Linked DNA regions of Saccharomyces cerevisiae S288C. The protein of the gene in region 1 interacts with the protein of each later gene in a biochemical or structural test. Each region holds a gene or a part of one and is shown in the gene's direction. Other genes may lie near its edges. The genes, in order: DMC1, RAD54, RDH54 and SAE3.

Region 1 (5,425 bases):
TAATTTGTAGTTCATTATTGCAATTATATATCTATATCTATATATGTATATAACATTAACATGTGCATGTACACACGTAATCGCGCGTGTACATGTCTATATGTGTTACTTGAACTATACTGTTTTGACGTGTATGTTTATTTATCTCTCTTCTGATTCCTCCACCCCTTCCTTACTCAACCGGGTAAATGTCGCATCATGACTCCCGACAATAATCCCCTCTGGTATAGCGAGAAGCAACTTTAGCTTCTTAACGGCAAGAACTTTTTTATGTTTGTCGCACCTGTATCTTCACAAAAGTTGGATACAGCAATAAGAAAGGAAACCACATTTGTGCCAATGCTTGCTGCTTCATTCAAACGCCAACCATCACAATTGGTCCGCGGGTTAGGAGCTGTTCTTCGCACTCCCACCAGGATAGGTCATGTTCGTACCATGGCAACTTTAAAAACAACTGATAAGAAGGCCCCTGAGGACATCGAGGGCTCGGACACAGTGCAAATTGAGTTGCCTGAATCTTCCTTCGAGTCGTATATGCTAGAGCCTCCAGACTTGTCTTATGAGACTTCGAAAGCCACCTTGTTACAGATGTATAAAGATATGGTCATCATCAGAAGAATGGAGATGGCTTGTGACGCCTTGTACAAGGCCAAGAAAATCAGAGGTTTTTGCCATCTATCTGTTGGTCAGGAGGCCATTGCTGTCGGTATCGAGAATGCCATCACAAAATTGGATTCCATCATCACATCTTACAGATGTCACGGTTTCACTTTTATGAGAGGTGCCTCAGTGAAAGCCGTTCTGGCTGAATTGATGGGTAGAAGAGCCGGTGTCTCTTATGGTAAGGGTGGTTCCATGCACCTTTACGCTCCAGGCTTCTATGGTGGTAATGGTATCGTGGGTGCCCAGGTTCCTTTAGGTGCAGGTTTAGCTTTTGCTCACCAATACAAGAACGAGGACGCCTGCTCTTTCACTTTGTATGGTGATGGTGCCTCTAATCAAGGTCAAGTTTTTGAATCTTTCAACATGGCCAAATTATGGAATTTGCCCGTCGTGTTTTGCTGTGAGAACAACAAGTACGGTATGGGTACCGCCGCTTCAAGATCCTCCGCGATGACTGAATATTTCAAGCGTGGTCAATATATTCCAGGTTTAAAAGTTAACGGTATGGATATTCTAGCTGTCTACCAAGCATCCAAGTTTGCTAAGGACTGGTGTCTATCCGGCAAAGGTCCTCTCGTTCTAGAATATGAAACCTATAGGTACGGTGGCCATTCTATGTCTGATCCCGGTACTACCTACAGAACTAGAGACGAGATTCAGCATATGAGATCCAAGAACGATCCAATTGCTGGTCTTAAGATGCATTTGATTGATCTAGGTATTGCCACTGAAGCTGAAGTCAAAGCTTACGACAAGTCCGCTAGAAAATACGTTGACGAACAAGTTGAATTAGCTGATGCTGCTCCTCCTCCAGAAGCCAAATTATCCATCTTGTTTGAAGACGTCTACGTGAAAGGTACAGAAACTCCAACCCTAAGAGGTAGGATCCCTGAAGATACTTGGGACTTCAAAAAGCAAGGTTTTGCCTCTAGGGATTAATTAAATCGTAAGGAAAAATAAAATAATAGTGCTGTGATCGCATGATATTCTTCCCTGGAAGCGCCATTTTATAGCAAGAAATGTAAGTCAAGTATATTTTAACTGTATATCAACAATATAGCTCTTTTTTATGCCTTGTTGTTTTTCTTCGGGTTTTCCCCACACATTGTGTGGAGAGATAGTTATTAACAGACCGGAAAATAGCCGCCCAAGGATAAACTTTTATATAAAGGGAAGGGTAGTTGACCCAAAAAATTTGGATTCTACTTTTCCAGATTTACTTTCACCCTTTTATATTTGCTGTAGTCTGTTATGCCAATCAGGAAAGCATTTGAACAAATATGTCTGTTACAGGAACTGAGATCGATAGTGATACAGCAAAAAATATTCTTAGTGTAGATGAATTACAGAACTATGGTATTAATGCCTCAGATCTTCAAAAATTGAAGTCTGGTGGGATATACACAGTCAATGTATGTTATAATAACATTTTTAAAACCTCTGCTGTAGAGGTTCTTTCCCCCTTTCTTTTACTAACTAATAATTTGGAAAGGAACTTTTATAGACCGTTTTGTCAACAACAAGAAGACATCTATGTAAAATTAAAGGGTTAAGTGAGGTGAAAGTGGAAAAAATTAAAGAAGCTGCTGGAAAAATCATACAGGTGGGATTTATCCCCGCTACTGTACAATTAGATATAAGACAGCGTGTGTACTCCTTATCAACTGGATCTAAGCAACTAGATTCAATCCTAGGTGGTGGAATAATGACAATGAGTATCACTGAAGTATTTGGTGAATTTAGGTGTGGTAAGACACAGATGTCTCATACTTTGTGTGTTACCACGCAGCTTCCGAGGGAAATGGGTGGTGGTGAAGGGAAAGTAGCATATATTGATACAGAAGGCACTTTCAGGCCCGAGAGGATTAAGCAAATTGCAGAAGGTTATGAATTGGATCCCGAGTCATGTTTGGCAAACGTTTCATATGCTAGAGCCTTGAATAGTGAACATCAAATGGAACTTGTTGAACAATTGGGTGAAGAACTTAGTTCTGGAGATTATCGCCTTATCGTGGTAGATTCTATAATGGCAAACTTCAGAGTAGACTACTGCGGTAGAGGTGAACTAAGCGAAAGACAGCAAAAGCTAAATCAACATCTTTTCAAATTGAATAGATTGGCAGAGGAATTTAATGTTGCAGTATTTCTGACAAACCAAGTTCAATCAGACCCAGGTGCTTCTGCATTATTTGCCTCGGCAGATGGTAGGAAACCAATTGGAGGGCACGTTCTGGCACATGCGTCAGCAACAAGGATTTTGTTGAGAAAAGGGCGTGGTGACGAAAGAGTTGCCAAGTTACAAGATTCCCCAGATATGCCTGAAAAAGAATGTGTCTACGTAATTGGTGAAAAAGGTATTACCGATTCAAGTGACTAGTTTTTGTATACTTTTTTAATGAAGATGACATTGCTCCTTTATTAAACTTTTCTTTTACTTTGTGTTACTAATATTATTAATATCTTGTTATGATTCTTTGTTTTAGCAGCTCCAAAAGAAAGGAATATTATAATATAATTGTTGTAATTCGGAAAAAAAATATTAAATTACTATGGTGCATATGCGTATATAAAATTGAGCATTACCTAACGCCATATATTACTATCTAAAGTCCTCACAGATGATGTGTTTTCAAAATCAAATGATTGGAGCTCCTCATCATCATCCCCGGTAAACTGCTCGGTTTCAGATCCATTATCCAGATACCTCAACGGGCTAGTGTACGCAATTGAAGGGTACCTATAAAATAAAGTACGTTCCTCTTTCAACTGAAAAAACCCCCGATAATCCCTTGACAAGAAATAATACATAATATAATCTCGCTTTCTGACAAGACTTTTCAGTTCTTGGTACTCTAATTCCCGTTCGAAAACCGGATATGTGCCAGCAATTTCGTCAGTTATTATAGCGTTTATAATAGCCTCGTAGTCATCGGGCTCAATTCTATTTTCGTAGTTGAACAGACGGTAAAAAGGGCTACAGTCATAATTATGCTCGCATTCCTCGAGAATAATATCTGAATCAGATTGTAAATGTATGATATTTCTTGGCGTTACAACAATAGAATCCTCAGGCCCTGATATTTTCTCTATAGATGGGGAATCCGGTATATAGTCAAGGTTGATATCTGTTAATTCATTTGAATTTAGGTTAGCGCGAGCTTCAATTTCGTTAGGCTTCTTGAAATTTGCCTTAACTGGGATTTGCTTTGCCAATTTTTTGTCATCTAGCTTTTTTCTATGATTGAAATTTAGGTCACGAAGCCTTATATGTTCAAGATCCTTGGATTTTGTAGCAGCTTTTTCCTTTATCAAGAAACTGCTTGACTTCTTTTGCGAAAAAGGGTGGGTTTGATTTTCATCTTGATGCAACCTCTCATCGACATCCATTTTGTCACTGTGTCTGAGAATCTATACTTCAGGGCCTGCTACAAGAAGTAGAAACTAAAATACAATGTTACAAATGCGAGAAGGGTTTTTTTTATGATCATGAGTGACCGCAATAAAATCTTTCGAAGCTTTTTCGAATATTTTAACATTTTTTCTCTATAGCTTCTTTGTGGCATCGCCCATGGGATCAAACCATACTGGTTTCTTTGTAAAACAGGCGCAAAATATAGAAACTCAGAAAAAGAGAAAACGAGTAGTGGAAAAATTTATCAGCCATTTATGCGACGCATCCGTTTGACTGATCTACCTATTTAAAACAGAAACCTACGTTGAAAAGTTATTTTTCCAACACATTACTGGATCTCATCAAATTGCCAATGTAATCTTCTAGATAATCATTTTCTTGCTTTAGTTGCTCACACACCTCTTGCTGCTCTAAGGTTTTATTCCACAACAAGTCTAATGTATCCTTCAGAAGTTTGGTTTGGCGCATCATCCTCTCATTTTTTGTTCCAGCTTCTCTTTCGCCAAGATTAACTTCAGAGGATGGCTGCTTGCCCGTCGGCGAGCCAGTACTAATGTTCTCCGCTGACATTGTCCTATTTGTTTGTTTGCTATTATAATTTATCTAGTCAACAACTTCGCAGATCTACAAACTGGTCCTTAAGATGTTTTATTGAAGACATCATTTTTTATTTTTTTAAGCAGAACGTGCTGTGCTCTCCCTTTTGGGCCTTTTTACGATTTTCAAAAAAATTGGTCTCTAGCGGGATCGAACCGCTGATCCCCGCGTTATTAGCACGGTGCCTTAACCAACTGGGCCAAGAGACCTGTAATCTGTGTTAAACCTGCATAAATTATGAAATCATAGCAACGTTTCAAATACTTCAGATGCCCCCATCCCTTCGTGTAGATGATGAAATGAAACTCTAGAATATCATCCATTTAGTAGCATTCTTGCTGCTGGTATAGTATCATATGAGATCTAGGAAGATGAAATGAAGCTTGAGAAAGAGTTAGCAAGTTTAATGGAAGCTGAAATGCAAGAATTGATAATGTAATGGGAAAATGAAGCATATAAAACGATAGGAAAAATAATCGTAATATTATTGTATGCAAATACCGATTAAATTTGAGGATCCCTATACCCTTGAGGAGAAGTTCTAGTATGTTCTGTATACATAGTATTGAAGCCTCTATCAACAATGGAATCCCGATAATTATCACAAAATTCACACAAACCTCAGATAAACGTAACAGTATTAGCATACATAATTATACCCAGGCTTCTCCCACAGTGCGCATGATTCGCTACGAAATCATCAATTTCACATAATATTGAGATTGCATTTGTTTTTGTTTCTTGCGTTGTCAC
Region 2 (6,959 bases), on another chromosome or scaffold:
AAGTTTTGTGATGCTATTCATTAGAGATGCCTTTGTCTAAAAATCAATGCTTTTATAGTCATCATAGGTTATGTCGTAAATGGTTTTATCCTTAAATTTTAAGGAGATTTTGGATGAAATGTTTATGTCAGCTCTGGTAAAGCCTTTTGAAAAAGTACATTTATCATTTTTTGGGAAATTAGTGGAAGAAGAAGAATGCTTTTTCTTAATGCATGGTAAACAAGGTGTGAGCAAAACCAACTTATCAATATGCTTAATCAACTTGCGTGAGCCTGTACCCTCAATGACATCATCCGGTATGGCAATATTCCGCAACAGCGTGCCTCGATATAGCCGAATATCGTCAGGAGTCAAGACGTACCGCAACTTGTTCGAGATCATTGGCATTATAGTATCGTCTTGAAGCAAAATCTCAATTTTCGCATTACATTTTATTTTTTTCAAACGACATTTGTCACAACTTGGGCCACTTCTTTGTCTCTTGGAAATTGAACTAGTAGATGTGGCAGAGGAGGTTGTCGAGTTGCTCGTTGAGCGCGAAATTATAGACATTTGAGTGCATGACGCATTAGCGTCTTCATTGACCATGGAAGCAAGAGCATGAGGATGATACTCAAACAATGGTGGAGTGTAATTTTGTGGAGGGGGAACAATCGCACTTACGGGGAGCGTTGGCGGCGGCGTCACCGTGGCAATACCAATAGCGCACTCATTACTGTCAGCGGCAGCAGGCTTTAATCTCTTATAGCCTCCTAAAAGCTCGTCAGTCGGAAAAGCCCGCTTCCTCGTCCAAGTGGTCGACAAGAGTTCTGGATCGGTGATGCCCACATTTTGGGTGCCTTTACGCCGTATATCTTTTTCTAGCAGGGAAACATTGGGGAGCAATAGCGGTGGTAGCGATCGATCTCTATTTCTTACTGTAATGCTTGTGGACATCTTCTTTTGACATACGATGACCTCAATGATTTAGATTATGTGTTGCACTTTTATAGACCTACCAAAAATCCAGTGCGTACACTAATACTTTCATAAAGATACCTGAAACAATAACCAGAAAGATCGGCAAAAAAATTTTTTTTCTTTGCCGAGATCACAAACCTACTATGACGAAAAAGCTTGAAGTTTAGATGAGTAAGGAAAATACAAGTGACGCTTTTATATGGTGCAAGGAACAAAAACTAAAAACAACAAGGCAAATGTGGATCTGTCATGTATGGCAACGACAGCAGGATGGCTCACAAAAAAAGACAAAAAAAACTAAGGCAAAAGAACAAAGCTCCTCTCCTGCTCAAGAAACGTATTGTTGAAAAACCACCGTCGTAAGAAAGTTTTTCTGTGACCTATAATGGTTTAAAATCGGCCCATTTTTTTTCCCTCTTTTGTGGTCCAGTCTTTCTCATACTCGAGGGAAATTCGACACAAACAGCGGAGAAGTGTGGCTAAACCGGCAAGTGCCTGCAAGATCCACAGAACTAACCGCACGAACTGGCGGTCAGAAAAGAGCCTGTTCCGGAAAGAGAGAAACAGAGAAACGATCATGATGGGAAAGCGGGGATTCGGCGAAGAACGAGACTGGAAAGGGAAAAAGAGAAATACTGGTGGAAGTATTCGGACCTTTGGCGAAGTCCGAACCCTTGAAACCCAAAGATGATCGATGATTCATTTTTCAATGCGCTACGGTTCCTGCCGCTCGTGGGAACCCCACGCAAAACATATTATTCGCTTCTCTCTGCTGACAACTCCGGTTTACGTTATACCGTATTAGGATCACTATAAGGGTTCCTTCGGGAGGAGGGGGGAGGGGAAGAATGTACATCGTCATAAGGCCTTTATGGTGTGAAGTGGGTTTTGCGTGGAAAATTCGTTTTCAATGATATAGAGCCCACGCATATACGTACATACTAGTGGCCAAAAGCGTGGGGTGGGCGGACAAAGCTACACTGGTAAAATACAGGATTCTATGAACAATAACAACAACCAGCTCACGTTGCTGAACAGCCGAGGTCAGCCGATGCAACCGAGGTTTCCAAAGTAGCATTTCTGTGCTAGCTATGTCTGTAGGTTTACATTTAATGGTGCGTGGTTCCAGCTTCATGTGCTTGCATGTGATGTCCTGCAGATGGTAAGAAGATTCTGAAAGCCGCGCTAGGAGAAAAATATTCTGCTCGAAGATCTGTCCTCTTAAGTAGAAAGCGTGAAATTGTTGCGTTCTTGCATTACTACTCAACGCGTACGCAAATGCGTCTACTGCACCTGCATGATAAAGCTTATGTATCAAAAATTTAACATCTTGAAAATACACAAGTGGTGCAAAGATGTGTCACGTTCTGGACCTGAGTGGTGCCATGTATGCTATTTAACATGCAAAGGGGAAGACCCTTCCGCCTTACTGCAATAATAAAAAGTATTTTACGCGTTACCCAATATAGCAAAGTTTCGCGCAAAAAAAAAAATAAAAAACAATTACAAACAAAAAGAAAAAAAAGGAAATAATAGAAGATCTAACTGAAGCGAAGGCCAAAACTCTTCTCACTTGACGTAATAGCCGATACAAAATCTAGAGCAGCAACTTTTCTCTTTCTTCACTAAAGCTGCTACGAAAGTATAGAAAAATCAAACGCTCAGAACTTAGCTCTATTTCAAGGTACCATATATATTTCCTTATAACTGATGGCAAGACGCAGATTACCAGACAGACCACCAAATGGAATAGGAGCCGGTGAACGGCCGAGACTGGTACCTAGGCCTATTAACGTACAAGACTCGGTGAACCGACTAACGAAACCGTTCAGGGTCCCGTACAAGAACACGCACATCCCGCCCGCTGCTGGTAGAATCGCCACCGGGTCTGATAATATCGTAGGAGGAAGGAGCTTGAGGAAAAGATCAGCGACTGTATGTTATTCCGGCTTGGATATAAATGCGGACGAAGCAGAGTACAACAGCCAAGACATAAGTTTTTCTCAGTTGACTAAACGACGGAAGGATGCTCTTAGTGCTCAAAGGTTGGCCAAGGATCCGACAAGACTGAGTCATATCCAGTACACTTTGAGAAGATCTTTCACTGTGCCAATCAAGGGATATGTACAAAGACACAGTCTGCCATTAACGTTAGGAATGAAAAAAAAAATTACTCCAGAACCTCGACCTCTACATGACCCTACAGACGAATTTGCCATAGTGCTTTATGACCCGTCCGTTGACGGTGAAATGATTGTCCATGACACATCTATGGATAACAAGGAAGAAGAATCAAAGAAAATGATCAAAAGCACACAGGAAAAGGATAATATTAACAAGGAAAAGAATAGCCAGGAAGAAAGACCCACACAAAGAATAGGACGCCATCCAGCTTTGATGACAAATGGTGTGAGAAACAAACCGTTACGTGAGCTACTCGGTGATTCGGAAAACTCTGCGGAAAACAAGAAGAAATTTGCTAGTGTCCCTGTGGTTATTGATCCAAAACTGGCCAAGATTTTAAGACCCCATCAAGTCGAAGGGGTGAGATTCTTATACCGTTGTGTCACAGGGCTTGTCATGAAAGATTACTTAGAAGCTGAGGCGTTCAACACTTCAAGCGAAGATCCCTTAAAGAGCGACGAGAAGGCACTTACTGAATCTCAAAAGACTGAACAAAACAATAGAGGGGCCTACGGCTGCATCATGGCCGATGAAATGGGGCTGGGTAAGACATTGCAGTGTATAGCACTTATGTGGACATTATTAAGACAGGGCCCGCAGGGTAAAAGACTTATCGACAAATGTATCATTGTTTGTCCATCTTCTTTAGTCAACAACTGGGCTAATGAATTGATAAAATGGTTGGGTCCCAATACTCTAACTCCGTTAGCGGTTGATGGGAAAAAATCTTCAATGGGTGGTGGTAATACAACAGTTTCGCAAGCTATTCATGCCTGGGCTCAGGCACAGGGAAGAAATATTGTTAAGCCCGTTTTAATCATATCGTATGAAACATTACGTCGAAATGTTGATCAATTGAAAAACTGCAATGTGGGTTTAATGCTGGCAGATGAAGGGCACCGTTTGAAAAACGGTGACTCTTTAACATTCACAGCTTTGGATAGCATCAGTTGTCCTAGAAGAGTTATATTATCTGGTACACCCATTCAAAACGATCTTTCCGAATATTTTGCTCTACTGAGTTTTTCGAATCCTGGCTTATTAGGTTCCAGAGCAGAATTTAGGAAAAATTTTGAGAATCCAATTTTGCGAGGGCGTGATGCTGATGCTACTGATAAAGAAATCACAAAGGGCGAGGCGCAATTACAGAAGCTATCTACCATTGTCTCCAAATTTATTATCCGTCGTACTAACGATATTTTGGCCAAATATTTGCCTTGCAAGTATGAGCACGTTATTTTCGTAAACTTGAAGCCGTTGCAGAACGAGCTCTACAATAAATTAATTAAGTCAAGAGAAGTGAAAAAAGTAGTAAAAGGTGTTGGTGGGTCTCAGCCCCTGAGGGCTATTGGTATTTTAAAGAAGCTATGTAATCACCCTAATCTCTTGAATTTTGAAGATGAATTTGACGATGAAGATGATTTGGAACTACCTGACGATTATAATATGCCGGGTTCAAAAGCCAGGGACGTACAAACAAAATATTCAGCTAAATTTTCCATTTTGGAAAGATTTCTCCATAAGATAAAGACCGAATCCGATGATAAGATTGTTTTGATCTCCAACTATACCCAAACCTTGGACCTCATTGAAAAAATGTGTAGATATAAGCACTACAGTGCTGTACGGTTGGATGGTACAATGTCAATTAACAAAAGACAAAAATTGGTGGATAGGTTCAACGATCCTGAAGGCCAAGAGTTCATCTTCCTCTTAAGTTCTAAAGCAGGTGGGTGTGGTATCAATTTGATTGGTGCAAATCGATTAATTTTGATGGATCCGGATTGGAATCCTGCTGCTGATCAACAAGCTTTGGCACGTGTTTGGAGAGACGGTCAAAAAAAGGATTGTTTCATTTACAGATTCATATCGACTGGTACCATAGAGGAAAAAATCTTTCAAAGACAATCTATGAAAATGAGTTTGAGTTCATGCGTGGTCGATGCGAAAGAAGACGTTGAAAGGTTGTTTAGTTCTGACAATTTAAGACAGTTGTTTCAAAAAAATGAGAATACGATATGTGAAACACACGAAACATACCATTGTAAACGTTGTAATGCTCAGGGTAAACAATTAAAGAGAGCCCCTGCAATGTTATATGGTGATGCGACAACTTGGAATCATTTGAACCATGACGCATTGGAAAAAACAAATGATCATCTACTAAAAAACGAGCATCATTACAATGATATCAGTTTTGCATTTCAATATATTTCACATTGATCTCTTACATACATGTACTTATAAAACAAAAACAAAAAGTAGAATTCGATCGTCGGGGGGTCATTACATATTTATTTTAAATGATGGGCATGGTTATATATATTTAGACGTAATAAACAATTGAAAATTGGGGCCAAATTGGTAAATATCTCTATGTATTTCAATCAAAAAAGTATAATCGTATAACTTAAGGGTAAAAAAAGTTGAGCGATGTCATATTATACTTGTGCTAGCTTTTAAATTTTTCATTATCTTCAGTTTTATCGTGGTAAAGTGCCAGCCGAAACTGCCAAAAAAGATTATGGCAAGAAAATCTCACGCTGTCAGGGAAATAAAAATCTGATACAGTTTCACACTCTCAGAAGGATTAACTTTAACTATTACCTAACACCAATATCTGAAGAGAATGGATGAAATTCTTGCCAAAGCAGGTTCACAAGCCGTTACATTTGCTATAAAATCCGGAATATCGATAGCATCCACATATGCGCTAAAGACAATAACGAACTTTGTCGTCCAGATTCCTAAGGATGATGCTAGAAGAATAGATCAACTGAAATTTAAACTGGAAAGCCGCATGGCTATTGTATCCAGTGCAATTGACCTAATAAAGCTGGTAGCGGCGAGGGGAAACACGAATTTGCAAATCACTCTGAGGTTAACCAAGGATTTAAAAGAAGAGATTGATAGGTTTGATGAGAAGATCAACGAAATGACGCAGAAAGTTGAGGGTTCCAGGAGCGCAAAAACACAGAATGAAGCTATTAAAGCGGTAGAAAACTATATAAAGGACTTGCTATTGAGGATCGAAGAAATCACTCCATTCATTAATCTTTCTTTAACCACTTCTGGTGCCAACTTGAACAGCGCACTCCCATATCAACTTTCTCCTGGTTTATTATTAAAAGCCTCCGATTTCGTTAGCGAGAACAATAGAAAGTATGAAAAGGCAATGAAGAGTAATGAGAAAGGAACAGGTGACAAGGAGATTCTAAAAGTTCAAGTGGGGCCTACATTTGAGGTTACACTATTCTCTATTTTCTATAACCTAACTTCAGAAAACAATGGGCAATCAGGAATTGTTTGGAAAGAGGATATGAAACGTGCAAAAGCAAGGATATATAGATTGAACTCTACAGGCAGAAAGTATGATTATTTTATGAAAATAGAACAAGACTTCAATGACGGTAGATATCATGAGGATGATGACAAAGAAGACACACCACAGGAACTTGCCATAGATCTGAACCATATTAAGAAGCTGTTTTTCAGTGTTTCCGGTAAGCTTCTCCGATTAGAAGAACAGGATTCTCCAGTGTTGGTATTGAAGATTGACCGGAGCGATGACAAAGAAAATGAGAGCAGTGAAGGAGACAAGGGATTACTCGATGACATTACTTGGTATGCGGTAAGCGGATATGAAGCGATAGAGGAAGATGAAGAGGAAGATGAAGAGGAGGACGAAGAGGAAGGAAAAGACGGAGAAGAACGAAAGGAAGAAGAAGAAGAAGAAAATAAATTGGAGGACAAGGATTCGTCGATCACACTACTGGAGTACATCATTCGGCTGACGTCCTTACAAAGTAACGATC
Region 3 (7,098 bases), on another chromosome or scaffold:
CAGTTATTGCGGGCCCTTGTACATGAAATATTAGGATGGCTTCGCTAAGAACATTTTTGCTTCTGGACAGACAGAACACGTAAAAAAAGAAACACGAAATTACGACTAACTTTCGCGTAGGGGTAAAATTACCTAATGCGCGTAATTAAAAAAAAAAGCACAGCAGTGTAAATTGGAGCAATAGGAGAAAATGACCTGTAAAGGAAGTATTCGAATTCACTAGTGCGGATATTAATAGAATTCATAATTTCGCGCTTGGCTGCTCATTATATTCTTGACTATTTGCCAAACTGTTATAAAGAAGCCTCAATATTCGTTTGGTTTATTGTTAAAGAAGGCGCAAGCTCGGCACGAGAAATATACGACGATAAAGAACATACCAACTATATATTGTGACGGCACAAAAAGACAAAATACGTAAAATGCTAAGACGCTCTAAAAATTCCAGCACTAACACAAACGCAGACACCAAGAAAAGACAATCCATGCATTTAGGATCCAAAAGTTCGCTAATCTCGCTGACTAGCGAATTTGGCCATGGACACTCCAAGACGAAGCAGAAAAAGGAGGAGGGCACAGCTCCTTCTCAATTCCTGTCTCCTACGAATAAGAGAAGCACATCTAGTCAGTCAAAGTTAAAAAGGAGCAGCTTGTTACTGGACGAAACACTGCTTAAAGACTACCACTCGGCCATGAGGCACATGCAAACAAACGCTGCAAAGGAAGAAAAGCTGCGGATGGCTCCATCACCAACGCAGTCAACGAGGAGCGAATCAGACGCCAGTCTTTCCTCCACCAAGAGCTCGATCTCTTCCATATTTTCCCAAGATAATGACTATTCCATTCACGATTTGTTGTACGAAGATATTGAAGAGATGGATAAAACAGACGCTTTCAAAATTAACAACACAATAGCAATCGATGATTCTAAAGCTCTCTTTGTCTTCTGTTCAAACGACTCCTCCTCAAGGACAGCGTCTATCGAAACATTGCACGAATCAAATTTGGACAACCTGGATATGGGTTCCAGTAGAAGGACATCGTTGGACTTTTTTTAATATAACCTACCATAGGACACACTTTGTTGTTGATGTTGGACAATTCGTTAATTAAGAGTCCCTAAACGGCTCTACTAGTTCCAACCTCACTTTGTTTTTTCATTTTTTTATGTTTTTTCTAGAACCTTCTTTACGTGATTCTCGCTCGGAATCCGTCAATAGAATGTTTTCAGTCTCCGTTTCAATATTCTGCGCACATCAATCATTTTCTTACTACATACACTAACATTACTCCTAGTTTAATTTAATTGAATTTTTAACTTTCTTTTCTTTTCATTTGGCAATTTGGCTCCTTGAAAACAAGACTATGGGTCTCTCTCATAAGCCTCAGGGGGGGACCCCAAAAAAATAACGCGGCCATCTTGCATGCACCGTTGAACCTGTAGCTTACAGTAAGCCACAATTCTCTTACCTTCTTGGCAATGTGGCACAAAATAATCTGGTTATGTGTCTTCATTTGGTAATCACTGGGATGTTACTGGGGCAGCAGCAACTCCGTGTGTACCCCTAACTCCGTGTGTACCCCTAAAGAACCTTGCCTGTCAAGGTGCATTGTTGGATCGGAATAGTAACCGTCTTTACATGAACATCCACAACCAACGAAAGTGCTTTTTCAAGCATTGCTTGATTTCTAGAAAGATCGATGGTTATTCCCTCCCCCTTATGCGTCCAAAAATATAGGGTGCTCGTAACAGTAAGGTATTCGCACTTAGCGTGCTCGCAACACAAAATTAAGTAATATGCGAGTTTTAGATGTCCTTGCGGATCTATGCACGTTCTTGAGTGGTATTTCATAACAACGGTTCTTTTTCACCCTTATTCCTAAACATATAAATAGGACCTCCATTAGTTAGAGATCTGTTTTTAATCCATTCACCTTTCATTCTACTCTCTTATACTAATAAAACCACCGATAAAGATATATCAGATCTCTATTAAAACAGGTATCCAAAAAAGCAAACAAACAAACTAAACAAATTAACATGTCATTTAACAGTCCATTTTTTGATTTCTTTGACAACATCAACAACGAAGTTGATGCCTTTAACAGATTGCTGGGTGAAGGCGGCTTAAGAGGCTACGCACCAAGACGTCAGTTAGCAAACACACCCGCAAAGGATTCTACTGGCAAGGAAGTTGCTAGACCAAATAACTATGCTGGCGCTCTTTATGATCCCAGAGATGAAACCTTAGATGATTGGTTCGACAATGACTTGTCCCTGTTCCCATCTGGTTTCGGTTTCCCTAGAAGTGTCGCAGTTCCAGTTGATATTTTGGACCATGACAACAACTACGAGTTGAAAGTCGTGGTTCCTGGTGTCAAAAGCAAGAAGGACATTGATATTGAGTACCATCAAAACAAGAACCAAATTTTGGTTTCTGGTGAAATTCCATCTACCTTGAATGAAGAGAGTAAAGACAAGGTCAAGGTCAAGGAGAGCAGCTCTGGTAAGTTCAAGAGAGTCATCACTTTGCCAGACTACCCAGGTGTGGATGCAGACAACATTAAAGCAGACTACGCAAATGGTGTTTTGACATTAACAGTTCCAAAATTGAAGCCTCAGAAGGATGGTAAGAACCACGTCAAGAAGATTGAGGTTTCTTCTCAAGAATCGTGGGGTAACTAAAGTGACCTGGCTCTATAGTGTTGTCCCTCTCGCGAGGACCATTGTTGCTTGCATATGGGCTTGAAACATATGGTCATCACATCTGAGCGATTTTACCTCTTAGAATTAGTTTAGATATATATGAGTTGATGAATAAATAGTTATAAAAACTTGCTTTGGCTTCGATATATGACCGTTATTTTTGACTAAGTTTTAACGAAGGAATCTAACCTCGTTCTTGTAATTACCAAAATCTTCAACAACGCGCTGTTGGAGGTATCTCTATGGATGTGGCTTGAAATATGGATGTCTTGCCTACTTCTACTTCTGGGAAAGGCATTTTTACTCGATCGCGTTAATATATGCATCAAGAAAATAAAAAATAAAACGCGAAGAGCTAAAAAAAAAAAAGAAAACCTACTATAAATAACCGATTAGAATCGAGTTTTTGTATTGAAATGGCGGTAATAAGCGTTAAACCTCGACGAAGAGAGAAGATCCTACAGGAGGTAAAAAACAGCTCGGTATATCAAACGGTATTTGATTCCGGTACTACTCAAATGCAGATACCGAAATATGAGAACAAGCCATTCAAGCCTCCAAGAAGGGTTGGATCAAATAAGTACACACAACTCAAACCAACCGCCACTGCAGTCACAACAGCCCCTATATCTAAAGCCAAAGTTACTGTCAACTTGAAAAGAAGCATTTCGGCGGGACCTACTTTAAATCTTGCCAAGAAGCCGAATAATCTGTCCTCAAATGAAAACACTAGATATTTTACTATCATGTACAGGAAGCCTACTACCAAAAAGCACAAGACTTGGAGTGGTGATGGCTACGCTACCTTAAAAGCCAGTAGCGATAAGTTATGCTTTTATAACGAAGCAGGGAAATTTCTTGGGTCAAGTATGCTACCAAGTGATTCAGATTCTCTCTTCGAAACTCTTTTCAAAGCAGGCTCCAATGAAGTACAATTGGATTACGAATTGAAGGAAAATGCAGAAATACGTAGCGCCAAAGAAGCCTTATCACAAAACATGGGAAATCCCAGCCCACCGACCACAAGCACAACAGAAACAGTGCCTTCTACGAAGAATGACGGTGGCAAATACCAAATGCCTCTGTCTCAGCTGTTTTCACTAAACACTGTGAAAAGATTCAAATCAGTAACAAAGCAAACAAATGAACACATGACCACAGTACCTAAAACCAGTCAAAATTCCAAAGCCAAAAAATATTATCCAGTATTTGATGTCAACAAAATCGATAATCCTATAGTAATGAACAAAAATGCAGCCGCTGAAGTTGACGTAATTGTTGATCCATTACTGGGCAAATTCTTGCGCCCTCATCAGAGGGAAGGGGTGAAGTTCATGTATGATTGCTTAATGGGCTTGGCAAGACCAACTATTGAAAATCCGGATATCGATTGTACTACTAAAAGTTTAGTGTTAGAAAATGACTCAGATATTAGTGGATGCCTTTTGGCTGATGATATGGGTTTAGGTAAAACACTAATGAGTATAACTTTGATTTGGACATTAATTAGGCAAACTCCTTTTGCATCAAAAGTTTCATGTTCGCAATCAGGCATACCATTAACTGGACTTTGTAAGAAGATTTTAGTCGTTTGTCCCGTTACTTTAATAGGAAATTGGAAAAGAGAATTTGGAAAATGGTTAAATTTGTCAAGAATAGGTGTTTTGACATTAAGCTCAAGGAATTCTCCTGATATGGATAAAATGGCTGTCAGAAATTTTTTAAAAGTGCAACGAACTTATCAAGTCTTGATTATTGGCTACGAAAAACTCTTGAGTGTTTCTGAAGAATTAGAGAAAAATAAACATTTGATTGACATGCTGGTGTGTGACGAAGGCCATCGACTAAAAAACGGGGCTTCTAAAATTTTAAATACGCTGAAGAGTTTAGACATAAGAAGGAAGCTTTTGCTTACGGGAACTCCTATACAAAATGATCTTAATGAGTTTTTCACTATTATAGATTTCATAAACCCAGGAATCCTTGGAAGCTTCGCTTCTTTCAAAAGAAGATTCATTATCCCTATAACTAGAGCCAGAGACACTGCAAACAGATACAACGAAGAATTGTTGGAAAAGGGGGAAGAAAGGTCAAAAGAGATGATAGAAATTACGAAAAGATTTATTTTGAGACGAACAAATGCGATTTTAGAAAAGTACCTTCCTCCAAAGACGGATATAATTTTATTCTGTAAACCATACAGCCAACAGATATTGGCATTCAAAGATATTTTGCAGGGCGCACGTTTAGATTTTGGACAATTGACGTTCAGTTCTTCGCTAGGACTAATAACATTACTGAAAAAGGTTTGTAACTCTCCTGGATTGGTTGGCTCAGATCCCTATTACAAATCACATATAAAGGATACCCAATCTCAGGACAGCTATAGTCGTTCTTTGAACTCTGGTAAGTTAAAGGTATTAATGACATTACTAGAAGGTATTAGGAAGGGTACCAAGGAGAAGGTCGTCGTAGTGTCTAACTACACTCAAACATTGGATATAATTGAAAATTTGATGAATATGGCTGGGATGTCACATTGCAGACTCGACGGTTCCATACCTGCTAAACAAAGGGACTCTATCGTCACATCTTTCAATCGGAATCCAGCCATATTTGGATTCTTGTTGAGTGCAAAATCGGGAGGTGTAGGATTGAATCTAGTCGGTGCTTCGCGACTTATTTTATTTGATAATGATTGGAATCCTTCAGTAGATTTGCAAGCGATGTCACGAATTCATAGAGATGGTCAAAAAAAGCCGTGCTTCATATATAGACTTGTCACAACTGGGTGTATCGATGAGAAAATATTGCAAAGGCAATTAATGAAGAACAGTTTGAGCCAAAAATTTCTAGGTGACTCGGAGATGAGAAATAAAGAATCTTCTAATGATGATCTTTTCAATAAAGAGGACTTGAAGGACCTGTTTTCTGTCCATACAGATACCAAGAGTAACACACATGACTTAATTTGTTCTTGCGATGGTTTAGGTGAGGAAATTGAATATCCTGAAACAAATCAACAGCAGAACACCGTAGAGCTGAGAAAGCGTAGCACTACGACATGGACAAGTGCGCTGGATTTACAAAAGAAAATGAATGAAGCAGCCACCAACGATGATGCCAAAAAGTCACAATACATTAGGCAATGTCTCGTTCATTATAAGCATATCGATCCAGCAAGACAAGATGAATTATTTGATGAGGTTATCACAGATTCGTTCACCGAATTGAAAGATAGTATTACCTTTGCGTTTGTAAAGCCCGGCGAGATATGTCTCAGAGAACAATGACGCCAAATATGGACACTTATATACTAAATAAAATAGCTATTATTTAATCACTGATTGTATTTAATAGGTTTATTCTTGCACGACTCATTCAGGTTCAAGTCACATATTAAGTAGGGCCTATTGCTGATTCAAGTTGATATCCACGTTTTCACTAATTTGATAACGATACGCTGCGGGCGCAAATCAAACATCTGAAAGATTTGAATAGCCTTTAGTCCCAAAAAAAAAAAAAAAAAAATAATGTGAAAAATTATCTACAAGGAAATAAATTGATAGGTAAAGTTAAAGAATCACGGCATGAAATTAAAAAGTGTATTCAGATCAGTTCTAAAGTACCGGAAAACAAATTTGAGTTTGCTTCTATTAATCACCTATTCGATTATTACGTTACTCTATATCTTTGATCATGAACGTTATAAACTCAATCTACCAAAAGAGGATGAGCACCCTGAATTCAATGACTTATTAGAAACAGCATGGGGGGACTTACAGATTATCACGGCCTCTTTTCATCCGTACACGTCCAAAGAAAATGATAAAGTACATGATTACTTGCTCAAAAGGGTTCTTGAAATTACAGGGAATTCTTCGTTTGCAAGTGTTTCAGATGACAAAGAAAGCGAGAGATCCATATTATTTCAGCAACAAGATCCTTTCAATGAGTCATCTAGGTTTTCGAGAGTGACATATTTTGAATCTTCTAATATATTAGTTAAGCTTGAGGGTAAAAATCCTGAGGAAGAAGGGTTACTTCTTTCAGCTCATTTCGACTCTGTACCCACAGGATATGGAGCTACCGATGACGGCATGGGTGTAGTGTCTTTACTAGCGAACCTCAAGTACCATATAAAGCACAGACCGAACAGGACTTTAATTTTCAACTTTAATAATAATGAAGAGTTTGGCCTACTAGGTGCATCAACTTATTTTGATCACTCATGGTCTAATTTAACCAAGTATGTGATAAATTTAGAGGGAACTGGTGCTGGTGGTAAAGCTGTACTGTTCCGAACTTCAGATACTTCAACAGCAAGAATATACCAACAGTCTGTTAAGGAAAATCCATTTGGTAACTCTATCTACCAGCAAGGTTTTTAT
Region 4 (4,593 bases), on another chromosome or scaffold:
TCGAATACGCGAGCGAAAAGAAAGATGCAGAATTCCATGCAATATTCAAGGACTCTGGTGTCAGCCCCAATGAAAGGTTGATTTTAGACCATAGTTGTGCTTTGTCAAGAGATATCCTTTTGCAAGGCAGAATGTATATTTCTGATCAACATATTGGATTTTATTCGAACATCCTTGGTTGGGTAAGTACCGTTTTTATACCGTTCAAGACAATCGTTCAAATAGAGAAAAGGGCCACAGCAGGAATATTCCCTAATGGGATCGTTATAGACACTTTACACACAAAATACACGTTTGCCTCTTTCACTTCAAGAGATGCTACATATGATTTAATTACTGAAGTATGGAATCAAATAATTTTGGGAAAGAGGTTTCGTAGCAACAGTAATAACACTAATAGCAGCTCCAATTCTATCAGTGATGATGAAAATGACGATTACGATGATGATTACGATGATTATGGAGATGATGATGACGATCTTTACGATAATAGCAATAACATATCTGATTCTACCGACATGACATCAAGCGTCAGCATAGGAAAGCCGGAAGATTTACCCATGCCTCTACAAACAGACACCCCTTATGGAACAGGAATTCCACCACTAGGTCCAAAAATTCACTCACCCACAGAAACAGTATACAAACCAGCGCCCAATGAAAAATTAGTTAACGAATCAACAATACACGCTTCGTTAGGGCGGGTTGTCAATATATTATTCGGGAAAGATGTCAGTTATATTATGGCCATTTTAAAAGCGCAAAAGAATAGTGATATTTCGCCAATCCCTGTTCTCGTTGATTCACCCACGGTTTCTGAAGGTAAAAAGAGAGATTATTCCTACGTAAAAACAACACCAGGTGCCATTGGACCCGGTAAAACTAAATGCATGATAACTGAAACCATTCAACACTTTAACTTAGAGGAGTATGTTCAAGTCTTGCAAACAACAAAAACTCCGGATGTTCCTTCTGGAAATTCATTTTATGTGAGAACAGTTTATCTTTTATCATGGGCAAACAACAATGAAACAAAACTAAAACTGTATGTCTCTGTTGAATGGACAGGTAAAAGCTTGATCAAAAGTCCTATTGAAAAGGGTACATTTGATGGTGTAACGGATGCAACAAAGATATTGGTGGAGGAGCTTGGTAATATTTTAACAAGATCTGCTACCAAAAGGAAAAGGTCTTCGAAGGAGAACACTGTTACAGTATCAACTTTACCGAAAATGGAACCTAGCTCACATGCACCTACCGAGCCTGATATTCAAAAGGATAAGGATGACTCTATTATAAGGGAAAATGAGAATATACCAGCTCCATTAGGGACCGTGGTCCAATTGCTATTTGGATCGAATACAGAGTATATGCAGAAAGTTATCACTAGAGATAAGAATAATGTCAATGTGGAAACGATACCAAAATTCACGCCTTCGTTGGTTGAAGGAGGTTCAAGACACTATGAGTACACGAAGAAATTGAACAATTCTATCGGACCTAAGCAAACAAAATGTTTACTAACCGAGTCTATTGAACACATGGATATCAATAACTATGTTTTGGTGACACAAACAACTAAAACTCCAGACGTCCCCTCTGGTAGCAATTTTGCAGTAGAAAGTAAAATCTTTCTATTCTGGGGGCAGCATGACACCACGAATATGACCGTTATAACAAAAATCAACTGGACAAGTAAATCATTTTTGAAAGGTGCAATTGAGAAAGGATCTGTTGAGGGTCAGAAGGTTTCTGTCGATTACATGCTATCCGAGTTAAGAGACATTATTAGCAGGGCAAAAAGCAAAAAACCGGTGAAGAAAGTAATGAAGAGTCATGATAAACATAGGCCTTTCCATAGTAAGGTTGAACAGAAAAGTTCCGAAAGCCGTAAGAGCGATGATAATAAAGACATTTTAACTCATATTTTGGATTTCGTTCAGAATAATTTTAGTTCAGAAATTTTTATGAACAAATTGCTGAGTCCTCAAAAACTATTCTTGATCTTGGGGTTGACCATTATGCTTTTCTGGTCTCCTCGGCTTCACGTGTTTCAAGAAAAAAATAATCTTCAAATCATCAAGCCAGGAAGGCTGCTGATTGATGGTCAAGAATATAATTACGTGCCCAGTTTCGGCACACTGTATAACTCATATGAAAACGCCATATCATCTAAGAAGAAGAGAGAAAATGTAAATTACGCAAGGGATAAGAGTCCTATTGTAGGAAGGGAAAGCGATATTTGGGATTGGATCAGTAACAGAGGGAGTGCAATATCACCTCGAGGTCGTGCTATGTTGAGAAACGATGACGAACACAAATTGCAGCAATTATCAGAAAGTATCAAAATAACAGAAATGCAACTAAATCATATGAAAACTATGTTGGACAACATTGAGAGGGACGCAAATGATCTATCTTAATAGCATTTTATATATTCTGTTTGTATTATTTAGTAATTGTATCTAGTACATATCCTGTAGCGGTTGGCCTGATTCCTTTTAAGTTAGATGACAGGCACACTTTGCATTATCACATCAGACGGAATTGTTCTGCCTAATGGCGGCTATTCTATTTCTGCTTCATAAATGCAAAGACAGAGTATAAGAATAATTTTAAATTAAAAGCAATGGTCTTATCCTTGCCATAAACAGAAGACAACTTGCAAGTATGAACTATTTGGAAACACAGTTAAATAAAAAGCAAAAACAGATACAGGAATACGAAAGTATGAATGGCAACCTGATAAAGATGTTTGAGCAATTGTCTAAAGAAAAGAAAAAGTATGTAGCTATTTTTTCCAGTCGGCAAAAATCGGTATAACAAACAAAAAATATTTAGTTTCTGTTATTAACAGAACTTGTCAAAGTGATGAGACACCAAAAAAAATTTCCTCGACGTACATTAAAGAGTTAAAGGAGTACAACGAATTGAGAGATGCCGGTTTAAGGTTGGCCCAAATAATTGCTGATGAAAAGCAATGCAAAATTAAGGATGTTTTTGAAGAGATCGGTTATTCAATGAAGGACTAATGGGCTTTTAGGGACAGTTCTATTCTTCCAACGTGCGAAGCGTTCCAATGAAACTCTGCTGCGCGCTGAAAACTATATAAAAAAAAAAAAAGATAAAATTACAAAGAAGTAATGAACTTAAATGCTATTATACAGTTACTAATTAAGCTGCGTAGTGTGAAATATATTGATAGTTGTAGTTTTGAGGTTTTATTACCCTCTGTTATATAATAGGTTTTCGCTATTTTATTGCCGAAAATCAAGACGGAGCGTAAGCCTCTTCGGGCAATACCTTCGACTATTCCAACAATAAAATTTAAAAAAAGAGATTAATCACATAGTAACAAGAAATAAACGAAAAACATATCATAGGAGATCAATGAGCCAACTTCACATAAACTAACAGTGAAAAGTCTATAACAATATTAATTTTACACAATTAAATCTACACTATAACTGGCACTGTTAATAATCGGTAATCTGCTAAGTAACTTTTTTTTCTCATTCACAAAGCATCGTTTTCCTCTTCCCCACGTCCATTATCACTTTTCTCCATATCACCCTTCATACACATTAAAAAAACAGCATATCTGAGGAATTAATATTTTAGCACTTTGAAAAATGCGTCTACTTCGAAGAAACATGTTAGTATTGACACTGCTCGTTTGTGTGTTTTCATCCATCATTTCATGCTCAATCCCATTGTCGTCTCGCACCTCAAGGCGGCAGATAGTGGAAGATGAAGTTGCCTCCACTAAAAAGCTCAATTTCAACTATGGTGTGGATAAAAATATAAACTCGCCCATTCCTGCTCCAAGAACCACTGAAGGTTTACCAAATATGAAACTCAGCTCATATCCAACTCCTAACTTATTGAATACTGCTGATAATCGACGTGCTAACAAAAAAGGACGTAGGGCTGCCAATTCTATAAGTGTACCCTATTTGGAGAATCGTTCCTTGAACGAACTGAGTTTATCAGATATACTAATCGCAGCCGACGTTGAGGGTGGACTTCATGCTGTAGATAGAAGAAATGGTCATATCATATGGTCAATCGAACCAGAAAATTTTCAACCTCTGATAGAAATACAAGAACCTTCGAGGTTAGAAACATATGAAACGTTGATTATAGAACCTTTCGGTGATGGGAACATTTACTACTTTAACGCCCATCAAGGGTTACAAAAACTGCCTTTATCCATACGACAACTTGTATCAACTTCCCCGCTGCACTTGAAAACAAATATTGTGGTTAATGACTCTGGAAAAATTGTTGAAGATGAAAAGGTCTACACTGGATCGATGAGAACTATAATGTATACTATAAACATGTTGAATGGTGAAATTATATCAGCGTTCGGACCTGGTTCAAAAAACGGGTATTTCGGGAGCCAGAGTGTGGATTGCTCACCTGAGGAGAAGATAAAACTTCAGGAATGTGAAAATATGATTGTAATAGGCAAAACTATTTTTGAGCTGGGAATTCACTCTTATGATGGAGCAAGCTACAATGTCACTTACTCTACATGGCAGCAAAATGTTTTAGATGTTCCCCTAGCGCTTCAGAATACATTTTCAA

The links.
Region 2: the proteins of DMC1 (region 1) and RAD54 form a complex in vitro, tested with the Saccharomyces cerevisiae proteins (4 studies listed by BioGRID).
Region 3: the proteins of DMC1 (region 1) and RDH54 form a complex in vitro, tested with the Saccharomyces cerevisiae proteins (3 studies listed by BioGRID).
Region 4: the proteins of DMC1 (region 1) and SAE3 form a complex in vitro, tested with the Saccharomyces cerevisiae proteins (2 studies listed by BioGRID).

What each region holds. Positions count from the first base shown.
Region 1 is NC_001137.3:546,478-551,902, forward strand, and holds DMC1 (recombinase DMC1), read left to right. Parts: upstream 1-1,943; coding exon 1,944-2,075; intron 2,076-2,167; coding exon 2,168-3,040; downstream 3,041-5,425. Other genes in the region: PDA1 (pyruvate dehydrogenase (acetyl-transferring) subunit E1 alpha), read left to right, coding at 340-1,602; ISC10 (Isc10p), read right to left, coding at 3,247-4,050; SLO1 (Slo1p), read right to left, coding at 4,388-4,645; YER181C (uncharacterized protein), read right to left, coding at 4,996-5,319. UniProt on the Saccharomyces cerevisiae protein: Required for meiotic recombination, synaptonemal complex formation and cell cycle progression. Recruited to meiosis recombination hotspots by MEI5 and SAE3.
Region 2 is NC_001139.9:192,115-199,073, reverse strand, and holds RAD54 (DNA-dependent ATPase RAD54), read left to right. Parts: upstream 1-2,670; coding exon 2,671-5,367; downstream 5,368-6,959. Other genes in the region: SUT1 (Sut1p), read right to left, coding at 37-936; YRB30 (Yrb30p), read left to right, coding at 5,774-6,959. UniProt on the Saccharomyces cerevisiae protein: Plays an essential role in homologous recombination (HR) which is a major pathway for repairing DNA double-strand breaks (DSBs), single-stranded DNA (ssDNA) gaps, and stalled or collapsed replication forks.
Region 3 is NC_001134.8:379,989-387,086, forward strand, and holds RDH54 (DNA-dependent ATPase RDH54), read left to right. Parts: upstream 1-3,123; coding exon 3,124-6,000; downstream 6,001-7,098. Other genes in the region: YBR071W (uncharacterized protein), read left to right, coding at 423-1,058; chaperone protein HSP26, read left to right, coding at 2,042-2,686; YBR072C-A (uncharacterized protein), read right to left, coding at 2,872-3,033; PFF1 (Pff1p), read left to right, coding at 6,298-7,098. UniProt on the Saccharomyces cerevisiae protein: Involved in the recombinational repair of double-strand breaks (DSB) in DNA during mitosis and meiosis. Has DNA dependent ATPase activity. Promotes D-loop (displacement loop) formation with RAD51 recombinase.
Region 4 is NC_001140.6:260,631-265,223, reverse strand, and holds SAE3 (Sae3p), read left to right. Parts: upstream 1-2,670; coding exon 2,671-2,783; intron 2,784-2,869; coding exon 2,870-3,032; downstream 3,033-4,593. Other genes in the region: LAM4 (Lam4p), read left to right, coding at 1-2,423; bifunctional endoribonuclease/protein kinase IRE1, read left to right, coding at 3,633-4,593. UniProt on the Saccharomyces cerevisiae protein: Involved in meiotic DNA-break repair. Required for the recruitment of DCM1 to meiosis recombination hot spots.